Linked DNA regions of Tribolium castaneum. The protein of the gene in region 2 interacts with the protein of the main gene of each other region in a biochemical or structural test. Links are inferred from orthologs where the notes say so. Each region holds a gene or a part of one and is shown on either strand. Other genes may lie near its edges. The genes, in order: robo1 and sli.

Region 1 (3,832 bases), on a different chromosome or scaffold from region 2:
ACACATTTCAGCAAAATATTTTTGATTATACATAGTGTCCCAATAAGTATGACGCCATAATAATATTTTTTTAATGGGATATTATTATTTTTATTGCCTTTCTAGCTTCTTAAATGACCCAAAAGTTTTTTTTTCAATCGCTTCAGGGAAAACGCTTAAAGTTCTCGGGTGTCTAGGTATGGAACTCGCATATGCTCGTTGCATAACGACATCCTTCGAACTTTAAGCTTGTGTTTTTGCATTCGTATTATTAATACCTACAAATGAGATTGATAAAATTATAAAATACATAGTTATTAATGATTAGATCATTTATTGAAACTACAAATTACATTAGCTATTCTTTTTTGAAGTTCATGAATAATTTATAACAGCTAATTTTGAGACAAAATGCGACTTTGGCATTTTAATATAGCAAATTTTATTTAAACATACACCACCACTTAGCATTTACAATATTTTGCTTAGAAAATAACTATTATTTACTTAGCAGTTGAAATGAAATTAATGGTGCTATTCTCTAGCTTCTATTACAATGTTATTGCTCTATTACTAGCTGTTAAATTCCTATTACGTCAACTCTGTTACTTCCTGTTAGCAACATTTCTACAGTAACATTCTCTGTTAAATAACAGCGACAAAAATCTCGCCATAAACTAACAGTGACAGTGACAGATCGTGTATTTTTGTGATGTTTTACCAAATTAACAAGAAATTTTATTAAAAATGTGAAAAATGGATAACACTAGAATCTTAGAACCAACTTGGAGAAAAAAAAAGATCTATCTTTAAAAAGATCAACTGGTATAATACAAAATGTTGCAAAGATAATTTGTAAATTTGTATAAATAAAAAAATTAACTCTGTGTACTCTTCATTTTGGTTACATTATGTCGTGAAAATAATAAAACAATTTTTTTTTAATTTGCATTATTTATTTTAAATTACAGTTTTTGTCTACCAATAATAATTTTCTATCTTCCAAATTGTTTTTTTTGCGTATGAGTTCTCTCCGGAACAGAATATAATAATTTGCATTCAATTCATTTACCTAATCCAACACGATCCCACGGAAATTGCCCCAAAACAAAAAATGTGATTTTTCCAATAATTAAGAATATTCTTTGCCCTGATCTGCACTCGTCCTTTGAATTCGTTTTTTCTTCACATTTTAATGGAACTCTTTGCAAGAGACGCTCGAAATGATAATTTTATAAAAACTTCTTGACATTTTGGAACAAAATATTTGTATCAAGTGGTAAGCCATACGTTAAAAACGACTTTCATTATCAGAATCGCAAATTAGACAGCTCTGTTAAGCCCATTTTGGTGTTAAATTTATTAGCGTCCATACATTTAGTTGCCAACCTCGAGTGGGTAAATTTCATCAATTGCATTTTTTTCTAATAAGTGATTTCAATAAGTTATTATAAATAATAAATAATAAAATAAATAATAATAACAATAATAATAATAATAATAATAATAATCCAAATAAATAATAAATAACACAATAATAATGGTCTGATTTTCAAATTAGACAAAAATACAAATAGAACACTTCGATAGTAGTTATCTATTTAAAAAAATATATAACGTTTGAATCCTTGCAATTTACAAATAAAGCGTCGTTTTAAGAAATAAAAATAAAACGAGATTTCGTCCAAACATTTAGAATGCAAAGCTCAACATTTCAGTTTTTTTTCCAAGTAATTAGTGAACCGGTTGAATATAAATTAATTTAAAACGTTTAGCGCCGAAAGTGTATAGCGTCAGAAGCGCCCGCATTTTGACTCTGCTGTAGAGAAAATCGCGCGATTTTGTATCTCGTTTCGTGTCCAAATCTACAGTCCTCCATACTCACAATTAACGACGAGCGATGCCTTGGCCGTGATGCTGCCGACGACGTTCTCGGCCGCGCAGATGTAAATGCCCTCGTCGGAGGTCTGCACGTTGTCGATGAGCAGCGACTTGTCGTCGAGGATGCGGGCGCGGCCGATGGGCATCTTGCCGTCCTCGCGCCGCCACAGCACGTTGGGGACGGGCTCCCCGTCCACCGCGCACTGGAACACCACCCTCTTGCCCAGGAGGGCCACCACGTCTTGGGGTTCCTTATTGAAGAATGGCTTCACTGCAACGATAAATTGCGAGTCACGCCAGCGGTAAATAAAAATGAAGAGGGAACTTAGGGGATTTTCACAGTGTTATTTACTCGCCTAAAAATAAAACTTGGGCGATTGAATCGATCCCTAGCGGCGGAAGCGCTCAATAATGTATCGGTATCCGCCACCATAATCACAGTAATTAAATTTCGCGTTTAAATTAATCAAAAGATGGCTTAATAATTCAAGGTTTGGGGACCGCACGATCCGTAGTCCTTCGGCCAACCGACTTGTGAATAAAGCATTACATTCAGCCGCTTCAAAGGACAAAGCGGATTGTGGGGTTCGGTCGTTATTTCAGTTAGAGCCACAAAAATTCAACTTCAAGAACGTAGCGGAAAAGTGATGTGTTTGGTCAGATATTTAGCAAATGGGGCATTTAACACGAAGTAGACAAAGATATAACTTTGAGATCTTGAAATTCGGTCATATTCGGGATAATTGTTCTAGGAAGTATGATTGTAAATACATAATTATTTTTTTGTATGACACTTATGTGAAGATATTGACTTCTAAAAATTTAACAAAATATGAGACACAGAGTTTTTGGAAGCTTTTATTTAAAAAGCTAATGCATACCAAAATATTTAAAATAGTGTTTTACATAGCAAATTCTCTGTTTTTTTGATTGCGAAATCAGATTTGGAATTTGAAATTTTTTGGTGTAGAAAACCGGAAGTGAAGTTTTAAATCCGAATTTTAGTAACTTGGACCATTTTTTCTTAATTTATTTTTATTTTAAAAAATAGCTCATAATATCTAGATTTTACACTATAAGTCTCAAAATGGGATCTCTATTTCTTTAGGAGATACAGTATTTAATGTACGTGATCGTCCAGTTTACGCAAGAAATTACGCGTTTTTAAGTACATTCCATTCCATTTTGCGAATTATAGTGTGAACTCTATTTACTTTAAGCTATTTTTTTCAATAAATATAATTAAAAAAAAAGGTCCAAGTTACTAAAATTCGAATTTGAAACTTCACTTCCGAAAAAAATTTCAAATTTCAAATTCGATTTCACAAAATTACAAAAGTACGACTTTGATTTTTTCATATGTTATTAACGTTGACATCTTTTACTAATCAATAATCATTTACCAAATTTTATTAATGAACAACTGACTCAAAATATCGCAAAATTTCCGTGTTTTCAACACGGATATTTTTATAAAAAAATGGGTGGTATTTTAATAACTTTAAATCACTTTTCTAAGAATTTGCATCGAAGATAAACCAAAAACCACAAAATGTTATTGTTACTTTTTGTTACCTAGCTGAAAAGTCACTACATTACATCGAAATCGACTGAATTTAGCTGTATTTTTTCGATTTAGCACGTTTTTGAAGAAATTATTAATTGTATAAAAAATTTTCGAAACGAATTTCAGCAAAAAAAAACTTAATTTTTTTGCGAGATTTCACTAGAGAAGACCAAAACGCCAAATTAAGTCAAGTACTATATATCTTCTTTTCGATTGTTTTAGCATATTTTGGAGACAGGAAGCTAATTCTTTCGCAAAATGTTGTCAAAAGCATATCAGAAAGTTACCAAAATAAGTCGAAAAAGGTGTTATTTTGTCTTTTTCAAAAGTTCAAGCACATTTTTGGGGTAAAAACAACTTTTTCGATTAATTTTGCCAACAATGATAGTTAAATCACAAAATTTG
Region 2 (3,832 bases):
TTTGGTTGCTACTCAAATCCCTAAAATAATCATCCAATTAGCACAAAATTAATTCAAACAAAAAATGAAATACAGTCGGGTCAGTGATTTCAAATGACTGATCCGGTCCGCTTGAATTGTGGTGATTTCGTTGATGTCCAAATACAACTCGGACGTTTCCGGGGGAATCCCCCGGGGAATTTCGGTCAGTTTGGCCCTTGAACAGCGCACGACAGTCCCAGTGCACGAACATTTAGGGGGGCAGTAATTTTCACCCAAACATCCCTGATCATTGTCACCTGAAACCAAAATCAGTGCTTGGTTTTTATCACTCAGTTTTTTTACTTGTGCATTTGAATTCATTTTTGGGCAGTTCTCTGATTAGCACGTCTTTGACTCTTGTTGGGCCCGCACATTTCGGTGGAGACCCACTAAGACCTTTACTTTTCAACCAGTCGGAAAACCACGCCAGGTGGCAGTTGCACATGAAGGGATTTTGCATCAAATTCCTAAAAAACAAATTTATTTATAGTCGTATTTTTTTGGAAAAAATTACAAAGTGTGGAGTGATGTCAAGTGGTCAAAAGAGCCCGGCATGACGCAAGTAATCTGGTTGTTATTAAGTGACAGTACTTTCAAATTGTGGAGTCCTAGAAACATTTTGTTGTGTATTTCGAGTAATTTATTTTCCGACAGTAATCTAGAAATAAATTGGTTAAGCTTGAAGTTGGATTATGTGAAAATAGTACAATTCATAAATTCTGGAAGCTCCCTCGAATGAATTTTCCTCGATTCCGGTGATTTGATTCCGCCGAAGGTCCAGTCTTATTAGGTTCGGAAGTCGGCCAAAAAGCCCATCGGATTTGATTCGTCCCAGCTCATTATCGTGTAATAAACTGGAAAAGATTTTTAACCCAGTTTATTTAATTCTACGTGACTTACAGTTCAGTTGTGTAGACTGGAATATCGCGTGGTATTTCCTTGAGCCCTTTCCCGGAACAATCCACGACCGTCCCGTCGCAAGTGCAGCCAGAAGGGCACGCATTATCAATGAGACACTCTCCTGCAAATCTGGTCCTAAACTCTTCCTGGCCTAAAATCGCAATTTCCTCTCATAACCCAGCCAACAAATTGCAATGATATGTTAATAATGTGATGTATGGAAGGTTAAAAAATGAACACCATCGCCACTGAATTAATCAAGTGGAGGTGCTTACCCTTACATTTAAACTTTTCGTCCTTCAAGGCTTCAATCCGGCGCCTTTGCATCCGCTTTGGAGTGTCACATCTCGCCCCAGAAGTTTCAATTGGGTTTCGGTGGAGATATTCGGCGAGCCATTTCAAGTTACAGTCGCATATAAAAGGGTTCCGGGCCAAATGGCTGAAAAAATATTTTTTCAAGTCGGGTGTTCTTTCAACTTTTTAGCTTACAGTGTCTGGATGCTTCGCAAGGAATCAAAACTGCCATTGGCCAGCGATTGGATGTTATTATCATACAGCGACCTAAAAAATAATTGATTTCCCTGGTTTTATTAAACTCGTTCACTCACAGTAGACTCAAGCTGTGCAAGTCACTAAACGTGTCCTTTCTTATACACGTAATTTCATTCGCGTTTAGTAGACTGAAAACAATTAAAAATCGTAATTAAGTTCGTTAGATGTGATTTAACTTACAGGAGTTGCAGCGAAACCAGACCTTGAAAAACTCCAGCCGGGAGGTCTTTAATTTTATTTCCGTATAAAACTCTGAAAAGTGTGATTGTTAAAAGAATGTTGCTCGTTTTATTAAGTACTTACAAGGAGGTCAGCGCTTTTAATCCCTGGAATGCATCCGATGCTATTTTTGATATTTTATTGTTACTCAAATCTCTGAAAAAAGTTGATGAGAAAAAGTCTGATTGGATTTGCTGACTTACATTCGCCGCAGACGCTTATGGGCCGCGAAAGCTTTCGTCGGGATTTCCACAATTTCGTTCTGCTCTAAGCGTCTGAAAAATTCAGTAGTGCCAATTGAAAATGCTCCACAAAAGTTTATTTTTGTACAGATTGGGGTACAGAGCAATTATAATTATTCTCTGGACGAAAAATAGTATCAAACAGGGGATTATCTTATTAGTTTATTGCTTTATAACGATGAAAATAGGGAAAGAAACATAAATAAACAGCACTGCAAGTGATTTTTGGCACGATTATTTTTTGTAATAAATTAATAATATAAATATGGAGTAAGTACCGCAGAAGCGAGCAAAAATCTTCAATATTAAAACTTACATTTTCTGCTAAAAAGTGGTTTAAATCCACTGTTCATTACTTTAGCCTATATTTTGTTGGAAAATATTCTGAATTTTGGAAAAGAGGAAAAAAAAGTTCACAGTTTTATTTGATGAAAAAAATGTTTGAGGTTTTATTTTATTTTGAAAAATGTGGTTCTAGAAAATCTGTAATATCTATGAAAAATAATAATTGGAATCTTCTTTATTTACTGATTTGTGGAAAAATGTTTGATTAAATTAGAGGGAGCGCCTCTGGAACAATGCCAAGAAACAGCTCCACGTGGCCAAAAATTATGTGCTGGGTATGTCTTGATTGCCATACCCCACGAGGCGGTTAGCCTCATGTGCTATAAAGTAGCAAGCACCCTTTTTTGAACTCGCTTGGTCGCTCCTCGTGTATAAACGTGAGAGCGTCCCCATTCTAGTCGTGAGACGAAGCAGCGAGCGCTATCTCGGGTCGTGCGCTGGAAGTATCAAATCGATAGTCCTTACAATTCTGTGGTTCCTTCCGGAAGATGATCCGGAACTTTCGTCAGTCCTTTTTCCCTGCAATCTACAATTCCATCCGCGCATCTGCACGGATGCGGACATTCGGGCTCGCTGATGCATTCCCCATTGATGGCACGTTCGGCCAAACCTGCAACATTTTTTTCTCAGAAACTGTAAAAAAGTTTGGTTTTTTATTTGTGGGAAAATGCGAGGGAGTGAATGTGAGAAATGCGTGGTCGATCAACAGGTTGGTTGTATAAGTGATTGCCTAACCCGGCGGCGTTCCACTCACCGGAACATTTGAATTCCTGATCCTGCAGATCGGCGATGTTTTGTCCTTTGAGATGGTTGGGTGAATGACATCTGGTGTATTGGGCAAGTCGTGGCGAATGTCTTAAATATCTCGCCAACCACGACAATTGACAATCGCAGTGGAGGAGGTTGTCGCTGAGGCGCAATGTTCGCAAACGAAACATGTTACTGAACATATCTTTGCCGATCCATGTGAGGTTGTTGTTATTTAGAGTCCTGTTGACAGTAAATTGAGTTTATTAAAATTGATTCAGTGGACATCAAAGAGGAGGAACGCTGTGCGATTTTACTTTGATAGTTTTTCTCAAGGCGATGAGCGCTCTCTGTGAAGTCGGCGCGATTATTTTTAGAGCGCAATTTGTACGTTTATGTGTCTTCCTATGTACCAACTTGCATGGTTGATGATTGTTATTAATCGTGAGTGCACTGGCTCTATTTCGAGCCTTTGGAAATTTTGACCAAATCAACTAACCTGACGATTTAGTTTTTAAACTTGGGAACAGATTTTTTTTTATGTTATTCTGACTTTAAATATTTTTTGTTAAGTGTATACAAATCAGAAATTAAGTAACCCATAGCTTTGTGAAAACTTAGCAAAATACAGTGAAACCTCCCTTTAAGGACACCTCCCTATAACGGACACCTCTTCACAACGGACATTTTTGTAGGAACGTGACGAAACTTATATTGAAATTTTCCACCTGTTGCATATTTTTAGGCATATTTTCAGTTTTTGAGCATTTTTTTATGCTTATTTTGGTGTCATTTTTGTGTTAAAA

What was found.
Region 1: the proteins of sli (region 2) and robo1 form a complex in vitro, tested with the Drosophila melanogaster proteins (2 studies listed by BioGRID). The link is inferred for Tribolium castaneum from reciprocal best matches to the Drosophila melanogaster genes sli and robo1.

Annotation. Positions count from the first base shown.
Region 1 is NC_087394.1:23,702,798-23,706,629, reverse strand, and holds part of robo1 (roundabout homolog 2), read right to left. Parts: intron 2,132-3,832; coding exon 1,865-2,131; intron 1-1,864.
Region 2 is NC_087397.1:863,168-866,999, reverse strand, and holds part of sli (protein slit), read right to left. Parts: intron 3,270-3,832; coding exon 3,034-3,269; intron 2,890-3,033; coding exon 2,745-2,889; intron 2,625-2,744; exon of another isoform or gene 2,495-2,624; intron 1,968-2,494; coding exon 1,896-1,967; intron 1,849-1,895; coding exon 1,777-1,848; intron 1,726-1,776; coding exon 1,654-1,725; intron 1,602-1,653; coding exon 1,530-1,601; intron 1,483-1,529; coding exon 1,411-1,482; intron 1,361-1,410; coding exon 1,197-1,360; intron 1,073-1,196; coding exon 922-1,072; intron 876-921; coding exon 729-875; intron 680-728; coding exon 536-679; intron 489-535; coding exon 325-488; intron 279-324; coding exon 74-278; intron 21-73; coding exon 1-20.